4 linked regions of the Struthio camelus genome follow. The protein of the gene in region 3 purifies or fractionates together with the protein of the main gene of each other region. This does not show direct contact. Links are inferred from orthologs where the notes say so. Each region holds a gene or a part of one and is shown on either strand. Other genes may lie near its edges. The genes, in order: KIF3A, KIF3C, KIFAP3 and KIF3B.

Evidence for each region.
Region 1: the proteins of KIFAP3 (region 3) and KIF3A purify together in Homo sapiens (co-immunoprecipitation; 9 studies listed by BioGRID and IntAct, counting the BioPlex papers as one, with this or other methods). This does not show direct contact. The link is inferred for Struthio camelus from reciprocal best matches to the Homo sapiens genes KIFAP3 and KIF3A.
Region 2: the proteins of KIFAP3 (region 3) and KIF3C purify together in Homo sapiens (co-immunoprecipitation; 3 studies listed by BioGRID and IntAct, counting the BioPlex papers as one, with this or other methods). This does not show direct contact. The link is inferred for Struthio camelus from reciprocal best matches to the Homo sapiens genes KIFAP3 and KIF3C.
Region 4: the proteins of KIFAP3 (region 3) and KIF3B purify together in Homo sapiens (co-immunoprecipitation; 7 studies listed by BioGRID and IntAct, counting the BioPlex papers as one, with this or other methods). This does not show direct contact. The link is inferred for Struthio camelus from reciprocal best matches to the Homo sapiens genes KIFAP3 and KIF3B.

What each region holds. Positions count from the first base shown.
Region 1 is NC_090954.1:2,345,075-2,352,599, forward strand, and holds the start of KIF3A (kinesin-like protein KIF3A), read left to right. Parts: upstream 1-4,519; 5' UTR 4,520-4,606; coding exon 4,607-4,612; intron 4,613-5,809; coding exon 5,810-6,092; intron 6,093-7,500; coding exon 7,501-7,525. Other genes in the region: CCNI2 (cyclin-I2), read right to left, coding at 1,274-1,423, 3,201-3,254. UniProt on the Homo sapiens protein: Microtubule-based anterograde translocator for membranous organelles. Plus end-directed microtubule sliding activity in vitro. Plays a role in primary cilia formation. Plays a role in centriole cohesion and subdistal appendage organization and function.
Region 2 is NC_090944.1:1,704,709-1,712,393, forward strand, and holds the start of KIF3C (kinesin-like protein KIF3C), read right to left. Parts: upstream 3,009-7,685; 5' UTR 2,500-3,008; coding exon 1,087-2,499; intron 1-1,086.
Region 3 is NC_090949.1:8,281,542-8,288,950, forward strand, and holds the start of KIFAP3 (kinesin-associated protein 3), read right to left. Parts: upstream 3,002-7,409; 5' UTR 2,966-3,001; coding exon 2,892-2,965; intron 2,790-2,891; coding exon 2,658-2,789; intron 1,361-2,657; coding exon 1,206-1,360; intron 9-1,205; coding exon 1-8. UniProt on the Homo sapiens protein: Involved in tethering the chromosomes to the spindle pole and in chromosome movement. Binds to the tail domain of the KIF3A/KIF3B heterodimer to form a heterotrimeric KIF3 complex and may regulate the membrane binding of this complex.
Region 4 is NC_090959.1:18,682,350-18,689,366, reverse strand, and holds the start of KIF3B (kinesin-like protein KIF3B), read right to left. Parts: upstream 3,011-7,017; 5' UTR 2,937-3,010; intron 1-2,936. UniProt on the Homo sapiens protein: Microtubule-based molecular motor that transport intracellular cargos, such as vesicles, organelles and protein complexes. Uses ATP hydrolysis to generate force to bind and move along the microtubule. Plays a role in cilia formation.

The sequences.
Region 1 (7,525 bases), on a different chromosome or scaffold from region 3:
TTTTAAGTGCTGTAATTAACATTTCAGCTGTCTGGAGGCTTGGAATGAAGAAAGTTGTTGGCTGTGTGTACACAGCGAAGGAAAGACCAAGCTTCCGAGCAGTTTTAAACACTTGTCCGTGTTGTGCAGTCAGTCAGGCTCTAACTGTGCTGAGGACCGCCTAGGCACTGGAGGACTGGTCTGAGGTGCGCCCTGCCCTCCCCTTGCACAGTGTGACCGAACCACCAAACCGAGCTGTTATTCCCTAATAACAGCCCATGCTCATTACTTCCCCCTCCAGAAAAGATCGAAGCCTCTGCTGCAGCATGCGTTGCGTCCAGACAGCCTCGGTGGGGGGAGAAACTGGCATTAGGAGCAGATTTAGATTTGCTCTTTTAAGTTTGTTTTTTGTTTGCTTGTTTTTTACAGCCTTTGAAGTCAGGTTTATGACACCCCCCCCACCCCCGGCATAATGCAAAATATATTCAATTTTTTTATTTCTTATATCTTATTTGAAGATGCATTCAGGAGAGAGGAAAGACTTTAATCTTGCTGCCGTTACAATGCATAGATGTCCGTGGCATGCATTTGAACATTAATGTAGGAGTAGCTGAAAGGGCTGAGCACCTGCACAGAACAGCTAACATTTACCACTAGTTTGCTTAATGTTAGTTTTCACATTATGCATTTTGCTATTTTGCAAATAAAAATACCTTATAAAAATAGCATTTCTACACTACTGCGAAAAAGGGACAAGGCTTTCAGGGCAGTTTTGTGCCTTGTTCCATGGATCAGAAGCACCTTACAGAAGCAACTGAGCATCACCGTTTCCACTGTACATGGAAGAACCTTAAGTGTTGTAGCTTCCTACAGTAAGTGACTGACTCACTTGAACAGCCAGGAATGGGACTGGTTTCTGTTAGCCCTCAGTAAATTCTCTCTCCTGCCATTTGAACGCATGGAAAGATGGAGAGAAATACAAAGCAGTAGAGCACAATTAAGTATGATGTGACATTTTTATTTATGGCTAAAACCCTTGATTCAGAGCCTGCTCTTACCTGCCTGCTCCACCAGAGTTCCCAAAACTGGCTGAGTCAAAACAAAATGCAAAGCATCTCTAAATCATGGTTTAAACGGAGCATAAGATGTAAAATGAGACAAAGACAGACCCTCCCCGCTTCTGTTCCTTAAGCTCAGTCTACGTAAGATGACTTTTGCATTCAGGTGGACTAGATGGCAGGACTAGCACTGCATCCCGCACAGTCCCTTAGGTGCTTCCAAAGAGGATGAATACCTTCAGGAAGAGATCCTGGAAAACTGGCACTTTCCAAATCCTAGCCTCTCTGGCTATGGCGTTTTCCAGGAAGAGGGCAAGTCTCAGGCTCTCTGAAGGTCCAGGGCACTTCATAGCAACTCTGTGAGCCAGTTTCCCAGGTGGGAGCCGCTGTCAAAACCAAGAAAAGAATTATTAGGCAATGCTAATAACACTAGCGGAGCCCCCTGAGCTAGCTCCGATTTCCTGGCGCGGTGCCTCCCCGAGGCTGAGCGCGACACCCAGAACAGCCATGCTGCTGCTCGTCGGGTTGCAGAGGAGGAAAGCGCAGTTCTGTCATCCGCTTCCCCGGGCGGGGCGGGCGGGGGGGGGGGGGGAGAAAACATGTCAGAGGGCCGAACAGCAGCGCACTCCTTCCTCCGGGGCTGCGCGGAGCCACCCCCGCCGCGGCAGCCGCTGTCTCTCAGCTCACTTCGCTTCCGACCTTCCGCTGCCCCTTTGCAGAGCCGTTGCCCGTCCTTACCCGGGCATGGGGGGGGCCTGGCCCGACCCGGTCCGGTCTGGCCTGGCCCGGCTCGGTTCGGTTCGGCCCGATCGGCGGCTGCGCGCGGCGGGGCCCGCCCCGACGGCCGCTTCCCCCAGTGGTGGCGGAGGAGGGCGGCGTGGCGGCGCTGCCCGAGCCGTGCCGTGCTGTGCCGTGCCATGCCGTGCCGAGCCGTGCCGGGCCGAAACCCGCTGAGCCGGGCCAAAACCTGCTGAGCCGGGCCGGGCCGAAACCCACCGAGCCGTGCCAAGCCGAGCCGAGCTGTGCTGTGCCGTGCCGTGCCGAGCCTCGCCTCACTGCGCCCTGCCGTGCCGAGCTGTGCCCCACCGTGCTGTGCCGAGTCAAGCCGAGCCGAGCCCCGCTGAGCCCCACCGCCGGCCGGGGCAGGAGCTGCCTCCGGGCCTGCCCGCGGGACGCGACAAGCCTCAGCGCCCGAGCTCGGTGCCCTCGTAGGATTAAGTCGCCCCAGGGAAAAAAAAAAAAAGGCCCAAGCGGTGGAAAAGTCCGTTTCCGCTTTTCAGCCCCATCGGGGGCATAGGGCGTTGCGGCCTCCCACCGCCTAACACCGGCGCGCCTGCCCTGGGAAAGGCCGGCGTTGCCCGCTCTCGCTTCATATCGTAAGGAATGGTTTTACGGTATTCACAGCTTTCCGGGGCTAAGCTGTTTGGTACTTCCAGCATAAACGTTGTCTCGCCCCTGGGGGTTCATCTCACCCATGAACGGTTCAGAGATCCTCTGTCGGCCTGTTAGGCCAAGTGGTGCGCGCCCCGGGATCGGGCTGAAGGTCTCACACAGTGAAAACTGTGGTATCCTTCAGCATGTTCCCCAAATCCACCCCTTCCCTAGCGTCAATTATTGCCTTGGCAAAAAAAAAAAAAAAAAAAAACACACTGCCTCTTCCTGGTATGGCCCTAGCCAAAATACCATTTCGCTCCACCCACGCAGCACCCCCATACCTGCCAGGAGCGATTCCAGCTCCTAAAAGGGCGTCTTTGTTCCTGCTTTATAGAGCACATCCACCGCCACCCCCCTCCTACCTCCAGTTCTGCCAGAGTCTTTGCATTTTGTGCCATTTTTGTTTCCTATCAGGCCTCTCCATCTTTCGTGACTGCTCTCCTCAGCTCTCCCCTTCGTTGCTAGGATTTTTTCAGGCAGCATTTTCTACAGGGAGCTGGTTCCCGTGTTTTATGTTAAATCTTTTCTTATTCCTAGAGCTTAGTCTGCCCACACATAACTCCCTGTTCTCTTGTCAGGCCTTTGGGTTATACATTTTTGGTGCTAAATGACTCTCTTAGTCTAGGAATCTTTGCATACAGTAAAGCACTGAGTAACATTGTAGCAACATATAAATAGTAAAGCAGCTATATTTTGCTTAATACCTTGTCCTGGAGCTTTCTGACTCACTTGTTGACACTTCAGCTGGGGATGAGGAAACGGCAGTCCTGTCACGACCGGCATGTTCCCAGCCCTGCGGTACAGGATGGTGTGTTCCTTGTGTCATATTAGGAGCCCTTCTAAAACCTCACATCAATCCTGTCCACATTCTTACTTCCGCCCATAGCCCACCAGCTAAAATACACTGCAATTAAACTGTTACAACCTTCAGTTTATTTCTGTACTTGATGCTTATTGCTGATGATCGGTTTGGCTTTGGGATGCCAGCTCTCTGCGTTTGGACTAGAGGCAGTGTGGAGAGGAGAGGGACGTGAGCGAAGCCCTGTGCCCTGTCACGAGAAGGATTTGGGGGTGCAGAAATAGCTAAGGGGTAGTAAGAAATACATTACAGAAAGGAGAAAAAGATATGAATTCACCCCCCCAAGCCCCATCAGCCCCCCAAGGGACCTGTCAGCCCCCCGAGCCCCGTCACCTGCCCCCAAGCCCCATCACCTCCCCCAGAGCCCTGTCAGCTCCCCAAGGGACCCGTTAGCTCCCCCCAAGGGCCCCGTCAGCTCCCCCAGAGCCCCGTCAGCCCCCCAAGGGCCCCATCACCTGCCCCAGAGCCCTGTCAGCCCCCCAAGGGACCTGTCACCTGCCCCAGAGACCCATCAGCCCCTCAAGGGCCCCGCCACCTCCCCCAGAGCCCCGTCAGCCCCCCAAGCCCCATCACCTCCCCCAGAGCCCCGTCAGCTCCCCAAGCCCCATCACCTCCCCCAGAGCCCCGTCAGCTCCCCAAGGGACCCGTTAGCTCCCCCCAAGCCCCGTCAGCCCCCCAAGGGCCCCGTCACCTCTCCCAGAGCCCTGTCAGCCCCCCAAGCGCCCCATCACCTGCCCCTGAGCCCCGTCAGCCCCCCAAGGGACCTGTCACCTGCCCCCGAGCCCCGTCAGCCCCCCAAGGGTCCCGTCAGCTCCCCCGAGCCCCGTCAGCCCCCCAAGGGTCCCGTCAGCTCCCCCGAGCCCTGTGAGTTCCCCCGAGCCCTGGGACTCAGGGGCGAGCGGAGAGGGTGGCGGGGGCCGCTCCCCCGCCGCCCCCGAGAAACGCCAACGCGCCGCAATTAGCGCCAGTGACTAATCACCCCGCGCCCCCCCCGCGGTGCCCATGGCGACGCGACGCGCCCCGCCGCGCCCCGCCCCGCCGCGGCAGCCCGGTCCCTCCCGCCTCCGCCATTGGCTGGGCCGCGGCACCAATGGCGGCGAGCGGGCAGAGCGGGCCCCTCCTTTGCCCGCCATCCATTGGCTGCGCGGCCTCCGCAGAGCGCGGGGATTGGCTGCGCCGCCGGGGCCGCTCGGGAAGGGCGCGGGCGCAGGCGCGTTGCCGTTATTGTCCGGTTGTGCCGCCCGGCGGGTGCCTCGCGCCCCGCGCCGCTGCCGCCATGCCGGTGAGCCCCGCCGCGGGGAGGGGGGGGGGGAGCGGGCCCGACCCGGCCTGGCGCCGCCCCGGCGGGCGATGGCGGCGGCCCCGGAGCAGGCCGCGAGGGCTGGGCTCGCCTCACCTCACGGAGGGCCCCACCGTCATCCCAGAGCGGGGTTTTTTTTGGGGGGGGGGGGCAGTCCCGTTTGGGGGGCTGTCGAGGCGGGGGGGGGGGAGCCTCTGTCCGGCTCTGGCGGCCGCTCCCGCCCCTCCGCCGCGGCGGCCTCGGGCGGCGTCTCAGGGCCGCGCCGGTGCGGCCAGGCAGAGCGGGCCCCGCGGGCGGAGCGGGCGGCTCACCGTGACTCACCCGCTGCTTCGGGAACCTCGCTGGCTCCGGTGTGGAGGAGAGCGAGGGGCTGCGGGGTCCCCCCGCGGCGGCTCTCCGCCTCTGCCAGCCCGGAAACGCTTGGCTGTAGTGGCTGGGGCCAAAGGAGAGGTGTTTTAATAGTGTCTTGGGCTTCGCCAGGTGAAGTGCGTTGTGTGTGTGTTTAATCAGGAGAAACATCTGACATCAGACTAATTCATGGTGTCTTGGAGCTGATGTTTATAGCTACTTTGTGAAAGAATTTCACGGGTGAATTTCTTTGTGGAAGAACTTGATATATCCATATCTATCTCTCTAGATCTATATATGTATATAGAGAGAGATATATAGGTTTTTTTTTTAATTCACTGTTTGAATTTCCCAAGTGGTTAAACTTAAAATTCAACAAACACCCTAAAGCTTATAAGTTAATTGAATTACTTTCAGCCAATACTTATTGGCATCTTCCATCTTCTGAGGTGAGAGAACATGAACAGTATTAATCTAGAAGAATGGCACAAATGCACCTACTTCTAGCAAACTGCTTGCGGGTTGTTGGTGAGCAGGAAGTTATTCCCTGAAGAAATTCATAAATGTTCTTGAATGTGAAATTATAAAGCCTTATGTGATACTGTTTCCATGTTAATGGACAGAAGAAGGTTACATTAACTAAATAACCAAGCATTGTTCTCTCTGATTTAATTATAAACCAGTTCTGTTTTAAGTCCCTAAATCCATGATTTTTTAGGTGATGCGTGCGTCTACTTAGGTTGACCTAACGCTGTGTGTGCTTGAACACACAGGTAAGTCAAATGCAGTGCTAGGTGTGACTTTGTGTGTGTATGTTTTTAATAACTGTAGATCAACAAGCCTGAGAAGCTGGACAAGCCAGAGAGCTGTGATAACGTGAAGGTTGTTGTCCGATGCCGGCCTCTGAACGAACGAGAGAAAGCTACAGGCTACAAGATGGCAGTCAACGTAGATGAAATGAGAGGAACTATAACTGTTCATAAAACAGACTCATCCAATGAGCCTCCCAAGACGTTTACGTTTGACACTGTTTTTGGACCAGAGAGTAAACAGCTAGATGTCTATAACTTAACCGCAAGACCTATTATTGACTCTGTCCTAGAAGGATACAATGGTAAGTCCTGTGTTGTTTTAAGATGAAAATCCTGCCTTGTATTCTTTCTGTTATTAGTGTTCCTGCTGATCTTATTGGGAATTTCCCCATGCGAAGGCTGTAGCTCTGTGTTGTTTCTGTTATGGCCTCAGTAACTTAAAATAGCTTGACTGCTGAAGGTACTTGCAGGTCTGCGCCCACAGAGGTTGTACATGCTGTAATTGTTAACAGTGGGAGATCAGTGATGAGCGAGACTCGGCCAAGGTCAACTTGCTGTGTTTTTTCATTTTGTGTCTTCTGTTTGGAAAAGATACAGGTTTTATGTTTATTTTCAGTTTTCTCGGGGGCACTTCACTATTAAAATCTCAGTAGCCAAGCAGTTGCTGTTGTCATGCAATAACTAGGTATGCATGCCAGACTCGTACGTATAATTGATGCACGTTTTTCTCTAAGCTTTGCAGTTTTAAACTAAGATGACTAGATAGATACACCTGCTCTACCCCACAAATGATCAGTTGTTTATCACCACTGGGAAGAGTGTGACCGCTTTGTGTGTGTGTTTCGGTTTTGTATGTAAATGTACTTTCTAAGGGAAAGCAGATGATAAGGAAGTAAAATACTGCTTTTCATAACAGTATGCTATAAGCAACAATAAGTTACAAAATGTTTAAAGGTTTGTGTAAGATACATAATCTGCCCTTGTACTAGCATGCCCAGGTTTCAGCTGATGTAAAATTCAGCTTCTCTGAACCATAAATGCCTGTGCTTCATGAGCTGTATTTAAACTTGACACTCAAAAGAGAAATCTGCTTAGTTTTCAGCAGTGTTAGGCCAAATTTAAGAAGCAGTGTGTTGCTGGAGTACTTGGGCCTGGAATCTCAGTAGATTTCCTTAATGTCTTCCTACGCAGGTTGACTTTCTAGTCTGAATTGTAGCTGCACTTGCAGGTTCAGAACTGGTCTGCATTATAGAAGCCTCACATTGTGTCCACTGTGGCTTAATGTACTAGAAATAGTTGGCTTTGCAGTTGGCATATAAGGATCCTCCTCTAATTGAGTGTGTTATTAATTGGGCTTGCCTTAATTATGTGGGTGTAAAACCTAAGTGTACTTGCCCTCTATTCTTCAGTCACTCTGTACAGTTTTAAGAGGAGCAGACTTTGCTTCTTTCAAATGTCTTGCAGGCTGGAAAAGCAGTGACTCAGCCGTCTTTGCTGTGGTTGTCCAGCATTTTTTTTCTCCTAGCCTTTGTACGGTATCTACTAGAGAAGCTGCAAAGCTTTTAGCCCTATAAAACTAGAGGTTTAAGTGGTATCAGGCAAAGCAGTGATGAAGAAAAACAGCAAAATCAGCAGCCGCTAAGCGTTTTATATATACTTATATATATATATATATATATATATATATATTTTTTTTTTTTTGTATTTCAGGCACTATTTTTGCATATGGGCAGAC
Region 2 (7,685 bases), on a different chromosome or scaffold from region 3:
CCCCACGGCCCCCCTGCGGCCCCTGCTCCAGCCCTATGGCTGTGGCACGGCCCCCACTGCAGACCCTGCCCCAGCCCCACGGCCCCCCTGCAGCCCCTGCTCCAGCCCCATGGCCACAGCGCCCCCCCCTGCTCCAGCCCCACGGCCGCAGCACAGCCCCCCTGCAGCCCCTGCTCCAGCCCCGGGACCATGGCATGGCCCCCCTGCAGCCCCTGCCCCAGCCCCACGGCCCCCCTGCAGCCCCTGCTCCAGCCCCACGGCTGCAGCACAGCCCCCCTGCAGCCCCTGCTCCAGCCCCACGGCCCCCCTGCAGCCCCTGCTCCAGCCCCATGGCCACAGCGCCCCCCTGCTCCAGCCCCACGGCCGCAGCACAGCCCCCCTGCAGCCCCTGCTCCAGCCCCGGGACCATGGCATGGCCCCCCTGCAGCCCCTGCTCCAGCCCCACGGCCGTGGCCCCCCTGCAGCCCCTGCTCCAGCCCCACGGCACGGCCCCCTCGCAGCCCGGCCCGGAGGATGCCGCTTGCGCGCTCCCACCCGCCCAGACCGCTGCGGGTAGGAGACTCGGGGCACCAGGAAGGATTGAGGATGGGGAGGAAGGAACCGGAGGGTCCCTGCAGAGCTGCCGGACCCTGCGGTGGGCTCGCAGCCCTGCGCGTGCCAGGCAGCGCCCTGCCGGCTGGGCCGGAGCCCCGGGACGGGCAGGAACGGCCAGGCGGTGCCCCGGGGGTCACCGCAGCCAGCGTCGATCTGCAGCATCATCCCAGCACTTCCCCCCCCCCCGCCCCCGGCAAGCTGCTTCGTCACGCAGAGCGGGGCAAGAGCTGAGCACGCCAAACTCATGCCGCCCGTGAGGGCCTCACCCTCTGCCAAATGGCTCCTCCCACCCTGCACCCCAGCAGCGGCCCACGCGGGTCGGCGCCTGAGAGCAGCCCCAGGCACCGCTCCGCAGGGGCGCGCGGCTCCGCTCGGGCGCCCTGCTTGAACCTCCTGCTGGAGCGCGGGTTCAGGCAGCCCGCTCGGGTCCGGAGGCAACGCAGGTCCCATCCCCACATCACTCACAAGCACCCGGTGCGGGGCAACACCTACCTTGTACTTGGTGGCCAGTAGCTCCGTGGCCTCCTGCTCCTTCCGCAGGTCCTCTATCATCTTCTCCTTTTCCTCCAGCAGCTTCTGCTTCTCCTCGCTCACCAGGCTGTGGTCATCCTGAATAGCTGCCTTCTCCTCTTCCAGCCTCTCCTTTTGCTCCTTCAAGTAATTCTCCATGTTCTTCTCCAGGCCGTCCTCATTGTCATCCTCCCCTTCGTTCTCCATGGCACTTTCTCCATCCATTGCTTTCTTCCTCCGGCTGCTCCTTCGCCTCTTCTTCCCCAGCATGCCTCGTTTCTCCAGCTGGGCTTTCAGCCGGACAATCTCTTCCTGAAACTCCCGTAGCAACGTGTCCTTGGGGTCCTCATTCACCCGGGGCTTGTTCTTGATGTTCTTGGCCCTGTTGGCAAACCTGAGGGTAGAGAGGCTCTCATCGTAGCTGTGAGAGGCTGGGCCCAAGGTGGCCACCATGATTGTCTTGGCGTTGCCCCCCAGGGAGTCCTGCAGCAGACGGGTCAGCTTGGAGTCTCTGTAGGGGATGTGTGTGCTTTTGCCATCGACTAGAGCTGAGATGACATTGCCCAGGGCAGAGAGGGAGAGGTTAATCTTGGACGCTTCCTTGGGGCGCTCTCCGTGGGCACCCATTTTGCTCTGGCGCTCGCTGCCAGCAAGGTCCACCAGGTTGAGCTTGCCCACCCGGATGTGCTCCTCACCATCCAGCCCCGTCTCACTGCACTCGATGGTGATGAGGAAGATGGCGTGGGAGCGGGAGCTGTACTCGTTCATGTTGGTGCTGCCCACTGACCGGGTCTGGCTCCCCAGGTTCATGACGTGCTCGATCTCTTTGACGTTTTTCGTCACGAAGGAGGAGAGGTCCTTGATGTAAACCCCCGTTTCGGGGTTCTCCTTCAACTCCAGCTTCTTGCTCTGGTCCTTCGCTAGGAGGTCTCTGATCTCCTCCTGGTAGATCTCCAAGTATGAGGCCCTCACAAGGTACTGCTGGTTCTGTGACCGGGAGATGTGGGTGAAGATGTGCTCGAAGGAAATGGGAATGATGCCCCTCTTTTCCGGCTCGGCCCAGGCCCCTTGCATAGTGTACGTCTTACCAGTCCCTGTCTGGCCGTAGGCAAAGATGGTCCCGTTGAACCCCTGCAGCACAGAGTCTATGAGCGGCCGGACCGTTTCGTCGTACAGGTCCGCCTGTTTGGAGCTGGCGTCGTAGACAGCGTCGAAGGTGAACGTTTTGGGCAGCTCCCCCGGCGAGGCCCTGGGGTTGCGGATGGTCACTTGACCCAGTTTCACGTCCATCTCCAAGATCCTCTCATACCCTGCTGCCTCCTCCTTCCTGTTCATGGGGCGGCAGCGGGCCACCACCTTCAGCGCCTCGCTGCTCCGGGGTTTGTTGGCCATCATGATGCTGCAGCTTCCCGACGGTCCCGCGCGTTAGGAGACAGACAATTGCCCCGGCCACTCCCCGGGAAACAGGCATGGATCAGAGTCCAGGGTTTTGTTTTCCTCCCGCTGGCGACGGCGGCCGCTGCAGTTATTTACCCCCGGCCTTTTCCCCCGGCGCGCTGCACAATGGACGCGATCAGGCGCGCTGCCCCGGCAGCATCGCGCGGTGGCGGGTGGCCCCCCCACGCCGGATCATCGCCGCCAGCTGGGCGTGGGGGCCCGGGCTGCGCCGCGGCCGCGGATAACGGAGCCGGGGGGCCGACGGAGTCGCGGGCAGGGGATGCTCCGGGTCGCCAGCCTCTCCTTCGCTCCCGCTAGTAGCCAGGGACCGGTGGGCGCGCGGGCCGGTGGGCATGGGCGGCGGGCCGGGGACGCCTCGCCTGCCCCTCCGGACACCCATTCATCGCGGCGCAGCCGCTGCGCCCTGCCTGCGTGCGAGAATGAGGGAGGAAAACAGAGGCGAGGGGAAGGGCTGCTGGGGAATGATGCTGCCTGGCGGGGGGCGGCGCGCCGCGGCTGATTTGCTGGGAAGCGATGCACACAGATACACACACGCACACGCACACGCACACTCCCCACCCGGGCTCGGCTTGGCTGCCAGCCCCGGCCCTCCGCCCCCCCCTCCCCGGCCGGCCGGAGTCAGCCAGGCACGCCGGGAGCTGTAGTCCTGCCTTTGTTGCTGCTCTGGCAGGATGCAGGATGCAGGATGCAGGATGCAGGATGGGATGCGGCATGGAGGATGCAGGACGTGAGAAGCGGGATGTGGGGTGCGGGCTACGGGATGCAGGATGCGAGCGGCAGCGACGAGGGCTATGGGCTGTGGGATGCAGGATCGGGGTGTGGGGATGCAGGATTTAAGGTGCGGGATATGGGATAGGGGTGTAGGACTGGGATGGGGTGGGGTATGCAGGATGTGAGATATGGGATACGGGATGCAGGATCAGGATGGCGATGGGGGGGTGCAGGGTGTGGGATGCAGGGTACAGGATGTAGGATACGGAATACGGGATATGGAATGCAAGACCACGATGCAGCCTGGGGGATGCACGGTGTGACGTGTGAGAGAGGGGATACAGGATAGAGGATGCATGGTCAGGATGGGGATGGGAGGTGCGGAGTGCAGGATGTGGGATAGAGAATGTGGGATACGGGATGCAGGATCAGGATGGGGATGGGGGGTGCAGGGTGTGGGATGCAGGGTACAGGATGTAGGATACGGAATATGGGATATGGGATGCAAGATCACGGTGCAGCATTGGGGATGCAGGGCGTAAGATGTGGGATATGGGCTATGGGATGCAGGATCAGGATACCGGATGTGGGGTGCAGGATGCAAGGTGCAGGGTACAGGGTGTGGGATACAGAATACGGGATATGGGATGCAAGATCACGATGCGGCATAGGGGATGCAGGGTGTGGGCTATACACTATGGGATGCAGGATCAGGATACTGGATATGGGATGCAGGGTGCAGGGTACAGGACTTGGGATACGGAATATGGGATATGGGATGCAAGATCACGATGCAGCCTGGGCAATGCAGAGTGTGAGATATGGGCTAAGGGATACAGGATATGGGATGCAGGATCAGGATGGGGATGGGAGGTGCAGGATGCAGGGTACAGGATGTGGAATAGAGAATACGGGATATGGGATGCAGGATCATGATGCAGCATAGGGGATGCAGGGTGTGGGCTACAGGCTATGGGATGCAGGATCAGGATCCTGGATGTGGGATGCAGGGTGCAGGATGTGGGATACAGAATACGGGATACGGGACGCAGACTCACGATGCAGCCTGGGGGATGCAGGCTGTGAGATGTGGGCTAAGGGATACAGGCTATGGGATGCAGGATCAGGATCCTGGATGTGGGGTGCAGGATGTGCAATGCATGATGCGGGAGGATGCAGGGCAGAGGATGCTCAAGGCAGGATGCACAATGCAGGGTGCGGGATGCGGGAGAGGGGATGCAGGACTCAGGCTGCGGGAGGCGCAGGGGCTGGGGCAGTTCTGCGCTGGCTGAAGCCCCCTTGACCACCTCTCCCTGCAGGATGCCCACAGAGGTTCGCTGTGCTCCCCTCCGCAGGTGCCCCGAAAGCGCTGCTGGGGCAGGGGGGCTCCGGGTGCAGCCCCCGCATTCGCAGGGGTCTTCCCTGCAAGGTGCTCGAGGACCTGGGGGGCACGAAAGGACGGTGCCCCCACAGCCGGCTGGGGCAGGGGGGCTCGAGGTAGCTGCCCTGTGCCCAGGGCACCCCAGGGCCCATCCCGGCAGGAATCAGCCCGGTCACAGGAGATGCAGCAAGCGGCTTTGGTGGGAGATTAAACGTTCCTGCGGCTCATCGAGTGGCAGCAGCCGCCTGTTCCTGCACCAGAGATTATCCCTTAATTAATTAATTAGGGTATTTACTAGCATAGTCAGGACTGCTTGGTGCCATCCAAGGGCTCCGTCTCCCGGAGGAGCCTTCGGGGGGGGACTGTCCCCGTCCCCGGTGACATGGCGCTGCCGGGAGAAGAGCCGTCCCCGTGCGTGCACCCCGGAAAGGGGCCCGCGGGGCTGGGGAGCCGCTTCTTCCCGCGGGCGTTAACGGGGCTGCCCGGTGGCAGGGGAGCTCCTTGCCCCATCCTGTCACCTGCACCGCGCTGGCCCGCTGTCCCCAAGGGCCCCAGGCCGGGTCATCGGCCTCCGCCTGGCAGCCCCCCAGTGGTGGTGCCCCTGCCCCATGTCCTCCACGGGCCCAGGGTTGGGGGGACGTGTAGGGCCGGAGCGCCAGGTAGGGGTGGGGTGACATGGAGCTGTGGGGTGACTTGTAGGGGACAGGGCTACACGTAGGGATGGGGTGACATAGAGGGACAGGGTGACAGGGAGGGATGGGATGAAATGGAAGAACAGGGTGACATGGAGCTAAGGGGTGACGTACAGACAGGTCTACATGTAGGGATGGGGTGAAATGGAGGGACAGGGTGACACGTAGGGATGAGGTGACAAGTTGGGGCAGGGTAACATGGAGGGACAGGGTGACATGGAGGGATGGGGTGACATGTAGGGACGCTCCCTCGCCCGCAGGTGTCAGCAGCAGACCGGAGCGCGTGGCCGTGCCCAAGGCTGTAGATGGCCGTCCCTGGCGCCTGGGCTGGCGCCTGCCCTCTAGGCGGCTCAGGCCGTCCTGGTCCTCGGGGCGTCCCCAGGGCGCCTGACACCTTGGGCCACCCGGCTGCACGGCTCCATCAGCCTTGGGGTGAGCATCGAGCTGGCACGGCCAGGCCCCTCCAAGCGCGGTGTCCGAACTGGCCGGTGGGGAGAAACCCGGGCCCCACGGGGCTGGATGCGTCCCAGGCCCTGGCTGCGGGTGGGCTTTGCTTGGGGGTCCCCAGGGAGCCAAGCACGGTTCCTCCTCAGGGACCCCCAGGCCCCCTCATCCTTCACCAGATGCGGCCCGTCCAGGTGTGCCCGGCTGGTTTCCACCCCCTGCTTGCTTCCCCACAGTCCCGCGGGGACGAGGCAAGGCCACCACCCGAGGCTGGTCTCCCTGGTGGCCTCAGGGACGTCCCAGGAAGAGCAGAACCCGCCTCGTGCCACATCCAAGCGGGTTTGTGCTGGGCCGCCCCACGCTCAGCCGTGGCCCCAGGGCGTGCCGTCCCCGAGCCCCTCACCCGGGCGCCGCAGGGCCAGCTGGGGGCTCCCCGCACCGGCGGCTGAGCTCCCGTGGGTGCTGGCTTGCAGCCACCTGAGTCATGGGGTGGAGAGCAGGGAGAGTCCTGGGAGCCGGCGCTGACTCACCGCCCTGACGCCCAAGTTTCTGAGGGCCTCGCCAAGCCCGCGGGGATGTTGCCCCCCCTTCCTCCTTCGTGGTCTCCTTGGACCTCCTTCATGGTCTCCTTGGCCGATCAGCCGCCCATTGGGTCAGCCCACGGCCCAGGGCGTCAGCAGGACAGCCGAGGCGGGGACGAGCATCCCCGCGGGGGACGCTGGACCAGCCGGCGCGGCGGGCTCAGGCGGGGATGCCGCCCGGGGACTAGATGCCGTTCTGCAGATGAAGCCTGTGCGCCCTGGTGGCCTCCCATGCTTGGAGTCCAGCCTGCTGCTCCTGCGTCAGCCCCCACAGTGGGGTCAAGGGTTTCCATTTCCTGCCGGCCCCGGGGCGCTGCTCGGCTGCTTCCCCTTTTCTCCCGGCGTAGGCTCATCCCCTTCCCTTGCCCCCATGTCCCATGGCCACCCCAGGACACTATGGCCATCTCTGGGACATCGCGGCCACCCCTGGGATGCCATGGCCACCCTAGGACACCATGGCCATCCCTAGGACATCTGGGCAGGTTTGCTGCTTGCTGGAGGCTCACATTCAGGATGTTGAGGAGAGGCTGAACAGACCCTGTGGCTCAACAGCGGGTTGCACAGCTGGTGTTGGCAACAGGGTTTTGGTTTCTGTGACCACGGGACCCCCTCTGAGGATCGATAACTGTTGGGAAGAGATGGGATCCCCTGACCTGATGGGGTGAAAGTATCTTTGCCAACAGGCTGGCCAAGCTGGTAAGAAAAGCTCCAGGCTGGTGTGATGGAGGGAGAGAGGATGACCACGGGTCAGGTAAGGAGGTGGCAAACGGGGTTAGCAAGCAAAGAGTCTGCAAAAGTGTGAAGAGAAGGGACCTCGTAATCACCAACAGGGCTGAAGTGGAGCCGGACAAATGTGGGTAAATAAGGGTGGGCCTATGGACAGTGTTATGGGGCAAACGCTTACACGCCTTCCAGGAAGGCAGCAGGCTGGGGTGCCTCTCCGAAGGGCCTGTGCACCAGTGCATACAGCACGGGGAACGGACAGGAGGAGTCAGAGGTCGGCGTGCAGCGGTGGGGCTACAATCTCGCTGTGATCGTGGAATCGAGGTGGGATAGCTCACACGACGGCAGCGCTGTCATGGAGGGACATAGGCTCTTTAGGAAGGACGAGCTGGAAGAGCGTTGCCGGGGGTTAAGGGAGATGATCCTGCCCCTCTACTCAGCCCTGGTGAGGCCTCACCTGGAGTACTGTGTTCCAGTGCTGGGCTCTCAAAACAAGAGAGACATGTTGCTCCTGGAGCGACTCCAGCAAAGGGCCACTAAGATGACAAAGGGACGGGAACATCTCTGCTATGAGGAGACACTGAGGGAGCT
Region 3 (7,409 bases):
TTTCTTTTCTACAATGAAAAAGACATGGCTACAGTTGAAGATACGCATGTTCAGAGATAAAAGCATACCCAGTATTGTCACATTACACGTTCTGGTAGAGACCAAGGTCAAAGCCCTCTTGCATCCAGCTGACCCCTTAAACTAACATACTGACCCCTTAGACTAACACAGCTAAGGAGTCTGTTTCTGAAGCTAACAGCACATAGGGAGCAAAATAAACCCTCAGATGCCTTTGACACCTCAGTCCAAATGATCAGTTATAGCCCACTTAGCTGGGGAGGCAGACCGCAACAATTCTTAGTGCAAGAATAAAACATACTCACTTGTACAGTGAGATACCTTAACTGCTTTGCTACAGCGTTCAAGCAAAATCAAATCCGTCCTGTGATATACTAAGACACATATACACAGGATTAAAAAAGGGTAAAACACCCAGAGCAATAACAAGAATCTCTGTTTTAAACTTCTCTCAGTTGAGAGAATTTATCCAGCCTGAGAATAGAGCTTAGTATTTCATGACTGCAGGAAACCTTGCTATCCACAAGGTAACGCAGGTCCATTGATAAAAATTTAAGCATTGAGCGAAATATTTAAGATGAACTTAAAACACACATAGCACCATTAAGATCCCTTGGCATCAGACCAAGACATTATTGTTCTCACCAATTTGTTCATCAGGAAGTTATGACGTAGACAAACGTATCCGCTCAAGCTGTTTTTACCACTGTACCAAAGCTTAGCAGAAACTCCTGGCTCCAGCTTTACAGAGAGCTTGAATTCAGCCTAACAATATCTCCCCTTGCAGCAAGTGACAACTGAGGTTCTTCCAGGAAGATCCTAACACTACTGTCTTTTGATATCACTGCAAGAGCAGATGTAACACAAAGAGGCTACACCAAACAGCGGAATCTCTGCCTTCAAGATCCTGCTGAAACACTGGGCAGCCAACAAGAAGCATCAGTACTAAGTCTGACTAACCAAAAACTATACTTTGATTGTTAAAATGATAACTCTACCCCTCGTTCCCCAATATTGGAAGTTTTTTCCAAGGGCAGTTTAGCCATATACCTTCCCCGTTGTCACGTCTCTGGAGAAGGCGTATGTCAAGCAAGGTAGGACCTCAACTAAAAGAAACCTCAGACTGTGCTTGCTGGTAACACTGAAGCACCCCAATCCCCAGGCTACTTCGTTCCTGTATTATTTACCTTTCCCTGCTGAAGCATCTCTGCGATTTTGTAGATAGTATAACAGCTGTTCTACCTCTGCAAGTCTAGAGGGGTGAATGAGTTTGCATTCTTCAACTACCTTCCGAGCCAGGGAAGCAATGTCTGTATTTGCATTGAGACTCTTCAGACGAATGCTGAAACATAATCAGAGAGATTTCATCTCAATTGCTAGATTTTTCTACTTTCAACCTTCAATTTAAGTTTATGCAGTCATGCATTTGTTAAGATAAAAATGAACCGGTTATTTCCAAAGCCTGTGCTATGATTTGGAAAGATAACGTCAAAGTGTTGACTCTCTACAACTCCAAAAGGCAAGTAACCATCAAACAGATTTGACAGGGTGGAATTCTTTTTCAGCCGACAGTCAACAACGCTAAATTTGGCTATATGAACAGATCCCTTATAACCATCACAGATATAGCAGCCAATAACGTATTGTGACATGTTCCCAAAAAAGTGCTAAGGATTGCAAAGGAGCACAGCACCCAAAAAAACCTCCAAATGAGAAACAGCTGAGGAAATTAACTGCACAAGGAAATTTCTTTTGTAGTGCCTGCAGATGCAATGTCAGGAGTCTCCCATAATTCTGAGCGCTGCAGTAAAGAAGCCACATGCAACAAGGAGAGAAAACAAAAAAAAATCTCTGTGGCCATTAATGTCAGGATAGAGCAAAAAGGAACTCCACCACGTTGCTGATGCAAGTTATGCCAGTTCATCCAAAACCAGAGGAAAGTTTCTGATGCATCCAAAAATTTGAGACAATTTAAGGGTTCTCTTCCTCTTCCCCTCTTACTCTTCCTACACGCACACAGGCAGCTCAAATTAAAAAAAAAAAAAATCACTAGAGAGCGAGCAAGGAAAAAAAAAAGAAGTCCAAACTTTTAGCTTGTAGTTCAGAAATTCAGTTTATAATAGCTTTCTGGACTTTCACAGTGGGGAATGCTTCAGTGTTCTTAAAAGAAAAATGCCAAGCAAATCTAAAATGGAATGCTGTAGTGAAATCACTAGCATGGGTGACAGATTGAAACAACAGGAGGTAAGCAGGCTGAAAGCTACAGCACAAGGCTGTCAGAAGCATTACTTGCTGTTCAGTAGCATTACTTGCTCTGATGTTCACCACCACCTGAGCAGGAACCAACCACTTCATGTCTCTGAACCTCAAGTTCCCAGCACGTAAAATGGGAGTAATTGCTTTTCTTTACAAAACATCTTAAAGTACACAGATGAAAAATCAGTTTACAGCATGCGTTTCAGGTGTTAACTGTCCTAGGCACATGTTACTCCCTGGCTTCTAATTCTTCCATTAATCTAGCACTAAGTTTTATAAAGATTAGAACCTATTATTCCTTACAGGCTGTTCACGCTTTGAGTTATAAAATTTATGACTCTGTTAAAAACAGAAAAAGCTATCCAAACTTGCTACAACCTTACATTTTCTGACATTCCTTACGTTCCCCCAGCATGGGGTCTCCCATCTCCCCAAGAATTGTTGCTTCCACTTCATAGTGGACAATGAGGGCTTTCTCAGACGGATGTACATCTATGTTGCCTCCTTTTACCTTCCTGCCAGAAAGAAAAAAGAAAAAAAAAGACAAAAATCAAATAAATTACTGATTAAATTAAAAGCTGAAAAAACATGTCAGAATACAGATCAATAGCAGCAACCTGTATCCTCTTCTTTTCAGATCACAAACCCAGGCTTGAGCCTTCTGCCACAGTATGGTGTTACAGTCCTTCATTTCAGACAGCTGCAGAGAAGCTCAATCCTTGAGCATTGCCTCTAGCATGCACAAAAACACCCAAGCCATTGGTCAGGTCTTAGTCACAGAAGCAAAATAAAGGAGGAGGAGGAGGAGGATATATCTTGGGTTCCACGTCTTCCAGCTCCCTTGAGGAACTATGATCAGGAAAAAGATGCATTTCACAAGGGAAGTGAATTTCCCAGTTGATTCCATGTTACAGCACCAATGCTGCAGAATCTTCTGATAGTGGCACAATTCTAGTGGTAGAAGTACTGCCATGCACAAATGGGAAGCTTTCCCCAAAGAGTCTGTTGGTAGGCTTAGCTAAATCTTAGATGTTAAAAATCTACTAAGAATGAATTACAAAGCATTTGAATTCAAATTCACTATTCTCTCCTCAAGCACAAACCTTTTCACTACTGTTCTTCATCCATAGCCTGAACCTCTGTTATCTCAGGAAGGAACACATCTAATAGCTTGTTACTGGGCTTGGGGAATTTCCAGATCAACAGCTGACACCAAGAGAGATAGATCAAGCATATCTATCTGCTTTATTATACCTACAGATATTTTGGGAAAAGCATTCTCTAGGAAAGCACTCTGGGTTCCTCACTGCCAAAAGGGCCTCTTCTGCTCTCTCCTCCTCTGTGCCAGCAACTCCATGGCGGCACAGTGAGCTACAACAGCCCCTCGACCCAGCCTGCCATGCAAACCCTTGCACCAGCACAAGCGCCGTGTCAAGACTGCACAGGCAGGGACAAGAAAGCCATGAGGCTATACCTCATTCCTGTGTTACTTTAAAGTGATGGTGGAACCACATCCACAGTTGCACAATTCTGTCTTTGGTGGTAAAGCTGACACTTGCTCCTTCCCCACTTAGTACTGCCAATAGCGTTTGCACAGCCATCCCATAAACCAGGCTGCTAAAACACTGCAGGTTAAAAGTAACTCTCTAGAGCTATTTTTTGTTTGTTTCAAGCAGATCACTTCAATAACCAGATTTACAGGTAGCTTCATGGCTTCCCAAGTAGTTGCATCAGCATAAGTGAGATGGCAGCTCACTTAAGTGGCACATAAGTCTAGCTGTGGCACGGACTCAATTAGATCAGGGGAAACTTCCTAGGTCAGCCTCACAGAGCTGGAAATGCTAGTAAATTTAAATGCAGCCTTCAGTGTAACCACCCTCTTTAGAACACTATTGGAATACATGCCTCTGTCCACCCAGCTACTATGGTGGCTGATTTCTGGTAGGCAGAGACGCAGCTTCAAAAATCAGCTTTTTCTTGAGATACTCACTGCTGCCCCAAACCCCCCACGAACCACAGAATGGTATGCTGCAAGAAATTAAGAGTCTAGTCCAACTACCAGCCTCACAAAGACTTAAAAAAGCTACAGAGTAAACAAATATTGCTTGCCCACTGCTAAAAAGCAAGTGTCCTCCTTAGTGAGATTGGAGCAGAACCCCATTTATCACTTAGGTTTTTTTTTTGAAGATACTTCTTTTTTCTTTTAACAGTACTTTGAAACAGATTCTTCATTTCAGACCGTTATTTGTTTTCATACAAAAGCTTCACAAGGTCTGGCCTAGCACAGCAGAAAGCTTATCGGGAATCCACTTCAAAAGAAATCATCTTTCTCCCCTCTTCCCCAAATCCATTTCTCCCATATTTACAACTACCAGAAGAGCCTAACCATGAATGTTCTTCCTGGAAGTCAAACCCCTGTTAAGTTACAGCTTGAAAATATTTATAAATATGCAGGAAAGGAAGGGGGAGAGGGGAGGAAGAACGGGCCTGAAAGATTTGGGTACATTTTTAACAAGCACTAAGCTGAACTAACAGCTCATCAATTCCAAAAGGATTTGATCGTCCTATGTTTTCCCTGCTTCTGCCAGTCACTTCGTATCAGCATCAGTGCTTGTCAAACCCTTTCACAGCTACTTTCAGCAGTTCAGCAGAAAGCACTTCATATTTCGGGCAGAGGGAACTTTTTGATGCATTACTGAATTAATGCATCTATAGAAAGGGAATAACACTTCCTGTCGACAAGCAGGGATAAGGAGGAAGGAGTGAGACCTCCTCCTTTTGGCAGCAGTATACCACTGATCAGCTTAGCTACCAGCAGAACCTCAGGCTAAGACTGCTTAAACAGTTTTCGCATTTCCTGTGTTTTTTTCCTTAAGAGAAACAGATGGGATAGTTGAAAAACCTTCAGCTGCAGAGATTTTCTGTCCTCTCACAGAACCTAACCAACATCCGCCCTCCCTATCTGAGCTACATCCGGGCTGAGGGATTCACTAATAAATCCACATTCAAGTTCCTCCTCTGAAGAATGTAACCTTGTGAACTGCTTGAAGACCTACACTGAAACGCACCGTACAATGCATTCAGCCATTATCTCCATTTGGAGGATACTACATTCAAATTACCAGTGTCACAAAGAAAAGAAATTCTTTCTTTACACAAAGCAAGTGCCATTCCCTCTCCCCTGTAAACAAGCAACATTTACTGTATTGAATACTATCCATCTTGCGTTTTTGAAGACTTACTTCATCAATATGAATAACAGGAATAATATTTATTCCTATATGAATATAGGAATAAAAGGAACAATGTTTTCCTTTGAAAATATAGACATCCTTATAACTGGTAGAAGCAGCAACGCACTGAGCAGCTCTCACAGAGTCTGGCCTCTCACTTCACTGCCTGCTCTGCTGAGAAGAATTTTGCACTATTAAAGATTTAAAAGGGCAAGGCCTTTTCTACAGACAAAAGCTGCATCAGCTGAGCTCTCACACAACCAAACCTGGTGTGTGAATGCCCTTTATTAACTAATTATTTTAGGGGGAAACAGCCAAAGCAAACTATACTAAGAACAAGTGGCACAAATTGTGCATGTGGTAAGACTGAAAATCCAGTAACAACCCTAGCAAGTCTGATGTAGTGGGAGGGGGACTGCTCGTGGAGGATGACAAAGGGAAATAGGGATCAGAGGAGCACCAGTCTTACACATAAGCTTAGTCATGTTAAATATCAGCACAGCATCAGCAGTTTCTCAGTTTGCGCTCCCTCCAGGACAGAAAAGGAGGCTTGTTGCAGTGGAGACTACAAAATAAAAAAGGATTCCTCCAAGATCACATAAGATGCCACAAACAGAACACGTAAGGCCAAAAACAGGTACCGCTCTGAAATGACAACTATTTCTTTAATTACAGGTGTCCATTTGATTTTCACCTGCTATCATATTTACGTGACAGAACTAACGTCCAACAAACATTATCGAGAGTTTTTTGATTGTTTCTGAAGAAGGGCTTTAATATGCAGGATACGTGGGATGGGGGGGGGGGGGGGGGGAGGAACCAAAACACCGAAGCAGCAAGTTCTGCAAATACTACTGGATAATGTGTAAAACAAGGAGAAAGAGAAGGACCAGTAACTCCACTACATTCAAGATGAGATGGGTAAAATCACCCACATGATGGGAAAAAGTGACACTGTTCACATATCAAGTCTTAGCAGAGGCCTGGATGGCCTGACATCTTTTGGGATTGCTAACAGTTTTGCTCTGAAACAAAGGATGGAGACCCAATGGTCGCCTGCACACACACTATTGTGTAGGTTGACTGGCTTCACTGCCAAGTAGACAGAGAAAGGCACCGTTCATTCATCACATCAAACCCTGATTACCCACTTTGTTTCCATACCCCCTCAGCACCATCTTTCTACCTACTCCCCTTTCTTATCCTTGCTGCCCACATCTAACCACCCTCCCCATCCACAACCACAATCCAGCCCTAGCTATTCCTTACTCCTGCCACTCTTCTCTGGCACCTGACCACTTTTAACCCCCCCATCATACCCTGCTCTACTCCTCTAAGCACAACCTACCCTCTCACTTCTTATCACACCCTGTACACACACCTCTCCAATCCCCCACCTTACCATCCTATCCTTTCCTTTCAATCTGCTTCTACACAGGCTCATATCCCAGCTCCCTTCTCCCAGCACTCACCCTCCCTCTCCTCAGTTTTCCCACCCCAACTCCCAAACCATCCCATTTTCCCCACCCCAGCCTGCCATGCTCTAACACCTCCTTCAAACCAGCTCACCTCAAACAACCATCACTCCTCTGCTTGCTGCCACTCCAGCCCCCTCACCCCCCAACCCCTCACCCAGCCCCCTCACCCTCCCTAGACCCCACAACCCCTCACCCAGCCCCCTCACCCCCCAACCCCTCACCCAGCCCCCTCACCCTCCCTAGACCCCACAACCCCTCACCCAGCCCCCTCACCCCCCAACCCCTCACCCAGCCCCCTCACCCTCCCTAGACCCCACAACCCCTCACCCAGCCCCCTCACCCTCCCTAGACCCCACAACCACCCACGCAGCCCCCTCACCCCACAACCCCTCACCCAGCCCCCTCACCCTCCCTAGACCCCACA
Region 4 (7,017 bases), on a different chromosome or scaffold from region 3:
AAATGAAGTGGCAGAGAACTTCAGGAGCACAGCTAGAGGACTGAGAAAGAAACCAGCACATTTCTACCCCAAAATCTCTACCATCAGTCTTCACTAAAAAGTTTAACGTCGAGGCAACGACTAAACATATTTAATAATGTGTTTGGAAACCTCAGGATAATCTTCAGAACTTCCTCGATGTCACGAGCGAAAACTACTCGCTCCCTTGTTATAACCACGGAAGCATTTGGTAGTTAAAGAGGAAGGTGCGGAAGGTGCATTGAGGTGACCACATTGGAGAACAGAAAGTGCTTTACCAGTCGCATAATGAATTCAGTCTACTGTAGGAATCTTGGATTGCCACTGAATAGGAAACAGAAATACATTTCCCTCCTGACTGGCAGCTCCAGATAAAGAGGACCTTATTGTCTGACCCACAAGGAATACGTATTTTAGAATATGAACGGAGAAAGAAAATATTTGAAACAGGGACAAGACTTGCAGAAGTACAAAAAGCAACTCTCCCTCTACTCATCGTGAGTAATTATAAATACATACAAATATATACTTATTCCATATTTACCTGAGATAATCGTACTGGTCCAAATACACAAGGGCCAGGTTTTTTTCAGATAAGCTTACATAACAAACGAGGCTTCACTTGCCTGCACTATTACGGTGAACGTTCGCATTGGCAAATACTCAAATTAGGCATGAGTTCTGAAAAGAGGAGCCTTTATTTATTATAGTAAGGTTAATATCCAAAATATTATTTAGATAAGGAGTACAGCTTTTTTAAGAGATGCTGGCTAGAATTAAACAAACACAGTTAACTTAAACTCCCAGTAGTCTGCTTTTTTTCAAGATTATTCACAGTCACCTGGAAGTTAAAAGAGAAATATCCAGCACGTGTCCTCTCTGCCAGCACTGGCAGAGGTATGTATTTAACAAGAATTACGATGTACGTGTATTCCCCGTTCCTTTGGGTATATCGCATTAATGTGAGCTTGATAACCTTTTGCCATTTTTCCCCATTTCACTTGCCAGTCTCTTTTCAAAGTCACAAAAAAACTCATTTCACCCCAATTTGGGCTATTTTCATAGCAACCTATCATGAAACATCTCCACTGTATTTAGCTACTGCCACAAACAGTTTACTGAAAGTATAACAAACTGTTTCTTCTCAGACTTACTTTATAAATCATATATTTGGGTAAGAAACAATTTAGTTTGTAGCATTTATATTGGCCAAAAAGATTGAACTGCATGGACCAGGTGGAAAAGGACTGCCTAGAATAGCTTGGAAATTAAGCGTACTACAGGTCACAGTACCATTTGTTCTTACGCTTTAGGCAAGGATTTTCTTTTGTGAAATTATTAAGTCTAAAGCAATCTGGATCAGTTCCCTAAGCATCTTAATCTGCTAGATTTCAAGGATGAGATGAACACACTTTAAAACGTATTCCAGTTGACCAAAAGGGGAAGACAGGCGGAAATCAAAGCATTTTCTTTTCTTTTCATGCAACACGAGACCATACCTGGAAAAATAAGCCGTGCCACAATTTGACTTCAAGTTAGTTTAAGCTCATCATCAGAAAGTTTCAGACGTTAGAGCTGGTTAGCTCAGCCGGCCGGTGCCTGCGGAGCACCCGGCTCTCAGGAGGCCTCTAGCGCTACTTACTCAGCCTCACGTTCAACCTCACACGGGCTGCAGTCCCGAGGCCGCTCCGCTTCCTGCTTTGAGCTTGAAGATCTGCTCAGGAAGATTTTCTTGGTAGGTCGCCTAAATTCTTACCTCCTATTTTTGTGTATATCTCCGGGTACTACTTAAACAATTCCATTGCTTTCTTGCTCTTTAAATCCTTCAGATATTGTGGGCTTGTTATGTCTTTGCTTAATTGCTTTGTCTTTTTCCCTTTATTCATAAGCCCATCACCTCTTCTTTGTTGTTGTTCTCTTCCAAACTCCCTCCAGTTTCTCCCTAGCACATCACCAAGGACTGAACAGGGTACTCCCAGTGCAATTGCCTGGGCTAGGCAGACGTTTGCCATCTCTCTGCCCACACCGCATCTTCTGCTACCCTGACACTGTAAGCCCTTATTTAATTTGTTGCCTGTAATCATCTTGGTTTGTTTCAGCATCGCTGCTTCTCGGATGCCACCCTCCCACAGAGAGGCCATAGAGTTACATAAACCCCAACCCCATGCGCGTTCGAGGTTGTCGTTTCAGTTCTGGTGCAAGTTCAGCTGCGCTTCGCCGGTCGGCTCACAGCTCTGACGCCCCGCGCAGCAACCGCGCGAAGCGCCAGCTCTTCGGTCGGCACCGCGGCCGCCTCGCCTGCCCAAGCGGGGAGCAGCACCCGCGGCTCGGGTGGAGGGCAGCGCGCGGGGCGACGGCAGCGGGTGTCGAGGCCGGCCGAGCCGGGAAGGGCCCCCGGCACAGCCGCCAGCCCCTCGCACGCTGCTGCCCTTCGCCGGCCACGCGTGGCTTACGGCTGGGCGCGAGCACGAGGGAACCGGCACCTCCCTCGGCACGCCCGGGGCCTCGCACCGGCCACGCAGCCGCCGCCCTCGCGCAGCCCCAGGGACACCCGCGCCCGCCGTGGGCCAGCACACGCGTGCGCCAACGGGGAAAAACACAATCCCATGGGCCGGCACACGCGTGTGCGCACGGGGCCACGCGTGCCCCCCGGGGCTGGCACACGCGCGTGCACGCGGGGACAGACGTGCCCCCCCCGGGCCGACACACGCGCCCCCGGCACACGCGCGTGCACGCGGGGACACGCGCCCTCGCCGGCGGGCACGCGCGTGTGCCCCGCCGCACAGGCCCGCGTAACGGGGCCGCCCCCCCCCCCCCGCGGCACACGCGTGGGCAAGGGCCCGCGCCGCCCCGCGCCTCCCCCCCGGCCCCGGGCGCAGCGAGGCCGGCGGCGCCCCGCGCAGGGGGCCGGGACTCACCTGCGCCGTCACCATGGAGCCCCCGCCCGGCCGCCTCGCTCCCGCCGCACCGGATACGGCGGGGCGGGCTCGGCCCGCCGCCCCCCCCGCGCACTTCCTTGGCAACGCGCGCGCCCGCCCCCAAGCCATCACTTCCTTAGCAACCGCCGCCCTGGCAACCGGCACACTTCCTTAGCGACCGGGCGGGGCTGGGCGCCGCCGCTTCCCTAGCAACGTGCCCCCCCCCCCCCCCCGATTCCCCGCACCCCGGTGCCCGGATGGAGCGGGCCGGGCCGGAGCGGGAAGCCGGACCGGACCGGGCCGGGGGTTGGGGCGGCGGAGGGGGGGTTCTTAACGCACCCCCCTCCCAGACGGGGCCGGACGGGCCGTCGCCGCCGAACGAGACGCAGCGCAGGCTGCTCCAGGCAAACCTTGGCGGTGGGGGGGGGGGGGGGGATTTCAGTCCAAGACTCCTGAACACAAAGCCGAGGTCCATTGTGCTTTACGGTTAAAAACATACCACACTTTCTTTATGTTTTCTCTTAATGCACAATATTCGCAGTAAGGTTTGGAAAGTCTTATCTCGCTTTGTGATCAAGGCAGCCCCGATGGCGTCGTTCAAGACCGTTACACTGAGAAAAACACTGATGAAGCTCGTGGAGACTTTGGTCACCTCCATCTTGCTTGGGAAAATCGCCATTTTGTGCCGATTCCCCACGTTCGCTCACCTTTATAGTGCCCTTGTTTGTTAGGCCTATGTGGCAAAGAGAGAAGAGGTGACCTTAGACGGCTGAACGTTTAATAGCTTCCTTGCAGGAGATAACCCGTCGTGGGTTTGAAATCTATTTGTTTGCCCCTGTTGGGAAGGAACTTTGTAAGAAAAAAATTGAATATGCATGATGACCAGCTGTGTATAAACTGGAGGCTGTATCGGGATGAGGGGTCTCTCCTGCGGGAGAGACCATTTTGCCCAGCAAAATAAACTCTCCGTAATCCTTGTGCTTGTTCTGCATGATTTGTCCACGATTGCCATGCCTGTGAAAAGAAGTAACTTAGGTGGTCCTATCAACATAGGATGTTTCTAAGATTCATGGCAACCCAAGTGGGATCATAGGCTGCCTGAGATGGGAAACCTTCAAGTGAAGATGCCTGCACTGGCATCTGGGCAAGTTCACCCTGGACGCACTTGTTTGGGGTTTTCTCATCCACTGGCATCGGAAAGAGTCGACATCACGGGGAACACACAGGGTGGGATCAAGCCAGGAACTCCTTTGGCAGACATTTGAAATAATTGGAAACATATAGATGGTACCAAGATCTTATCCAGGAAGCGTGTGGTAAGGAGGAACGGCCAGCATATACCCAGGAGGGGATGCCCACTGCGGTACAGCCACCCGAGGGTTCCTTCGATCAGGCAAGATTAACATTTATGTGGCTCCATTTGGAAGACTGTCCACCAGGTCAAACGGATCGTTGGAATGTATGGGACAATTTGGCACCCGATTGTCCCAGAGGTCTGGCAGCAATGACCAGCTCTAAAAATTTTTCACAGGTGCCTCCCTCTTACTCTACTGATTTAACGTCATCTGTCTCTGTCACTTTGCCTGCTTTACCTGCACCTCCCTCTATTCCTGTTCAAGCTCTCATGATATAGCATGTAATGCCGAATCCAGATAGGCAGCCCAATGCAGCAGGAGTTCCCCCATCCCAGCTCATATCCGTGTATGTTCACCAGCCTTGGCCATGCCAGGATCTGGTGTTATGGCAGCAGCAGATGCTGAGATTGCATGATGACCCTGAGAAGGCTGCCTGAGTGATATCAAGAATTATTGCAGGATACCACCCCAACTGGGAAGATGGGCTGATACTTTTACAAGAGCTGTTTAAAACAGATGAAAGGGCAGTAATTCTTGAAAAAGATGCAGAATTAGGCCACCAGGCAGGGGGAGGCAGGCAGTCGTGGCTGCAGACAGATCCTGGGTGGGACATGAATGATGATCAGCAATGCCAAATATGTAGGACAGCTCAGGAGGAATTACTCTGGGCCCTAAGAGAACCTGGTCAAACAGGGGTGAATCGGACGACAGTTCAATAAACACGTCAGAAACCTGACAAACACCCCTCTGAATATGCGGCCCGTCTTCAACAGGCCCTATTACGACAAGGGGCATGACAGACTAGTTCCAATGAACCACTTATGGCTAACCGGTTCGTGAACTAAGCCGCTATAGACATCCAAAAATACTTCACTACATGCTCCTGAACGGCAAGGGAAACCCTCACAGAAGGGAATCTCTATAACTACTTTGGTGTTTAATGAGAGATGAAAGGAAGAAGAAAAAAAAAAAAGCAACAACAAAAAGGCGAAGAAGCTAGCTTACTTACAGCAGCTCTCCAAGCCCCACGTGGTATAATAAGAACAAGAGGAGGCAGGGGCAAGGCAGAGGACAGGGATTTCCCATATCCAGGGAGCGAGGAGCCCTGGGTCCGAGAGTAGACCTGGGTCCCACGTCATGAGATTGCTGCAACTACTGCTATCAACCCAGACACTGGAAAAGAAAATGTCTTGTAAGATCGAAGGGTACTTCGCTTCCTTACGGGAACAGTCCACTATAAACCCCACCAGGGGCTACTGGTGGATACCGGAGCCACCTACTAAACGTTGAATTGGCCTATCAGCCCGTCATCCAAAAAGACGGCAAGTATCCAAGGAATTGAAGGAAGACCCTAGATCCTACCTGTTACCAAGCCTCTTGAAATAGAGATTAGTAACCACTCCTTCTGGCATGAATTTCTAATAATGAGAGGAAGTCCAATTAATCTGTTGGGGAGAGACCTACTGTGTAAAACCCAAGCCATCATTAAATGTTGAGAGAGAGGGCTAACTTTACAATTGCCAGACGGGATGATGGCCATCTTTGAAGGAGCAGAACCCAAGATTCCCCCAAGTCTAAATGAGGTGCCCTCACAGTTGTGGACTACCTCCCCTACTGAGGTAGAGCTCCTAAAATCTGCTGAACCAGTACAAATTGAAGTCAAAACTAATAATTTCCTGGCTTTAAATCAATATCCATTGCCAAAAATGAAAGAAGGAATAAAGCCTATATTGACAAATTCCTTAAGCAAGGAATTCTTGTAGAACGTAGCTCACCGTGTAATACGCTCATACTCAATTATAAACCAAGCTAAGCTTGGTCCCGATGGAAGGCCTATTTATTGATTTGTGCAAGATTTATGGGCAATTAATCCAATTGTATTTGCACCCCATCCAGTAGTTCCAGATCCTATGCAAATAAGTACTGAAATACCTCATGATGCCAGATGCTTTACAGTTGTCGATCTCTCTGCTGCCTTTTTTAGTATTCCAGTTCATGCTGACTCACAATTTCTATTTGCCTTTACTTGGCAAGGCCATCAGCTAACTTGGACCAGACCTCCCCAGGGATTCACTGGGTCTCCAAACATTTTTTGCGTATTCTTAAAACTGATCTGCAGGATATAAGGTTACCTCGTCAGTCTGTGCTGGTATAATACATAGATGATCTTTTATTATTAGTGAGCCGCAATTGTGAATCCTGTATGAAAGACACAATACTTTTATTAAAGAAATTAGCTAGCAAAGGGCACCGAGCATCTCTTGCCAAACTCCAACTGTGTAAAGAGGTTGTTTATCTAGGAAATCGAATTAGGCTAGGAGAACAACAATTTATTAACAACAGGATAAAAATTATTAATAACTTACCTAAACCACAGCCAAAAAAAAAAAAACCACACAGATCAGAGCTTTTTTTGGGAACCGTGGGATTCAATTGCCAGTGGACGCTAGGGTTTGTAAGGTTGGTGAAATCACTGACTGAAGCCATCTGGGATGGTGGAATGGACTAAGGAATGAGACAACTCTTTTTTCTTATTAAAACAGGCAGTGGCATTGGCTCCAGCCCTAGCCCTGCCAGACTACTGTAAACCTTTTACCTTATTTGTTCACAAAAGATAAGAAGTGGCCAGTGGAGTTTTAACGCAAGTTACAGCAGGAAAATATCAAGCCGTGGCTTATTATTCAGTGCAATTAGACCCTGTAGCTCAAGGAACGATATCCTGCGCA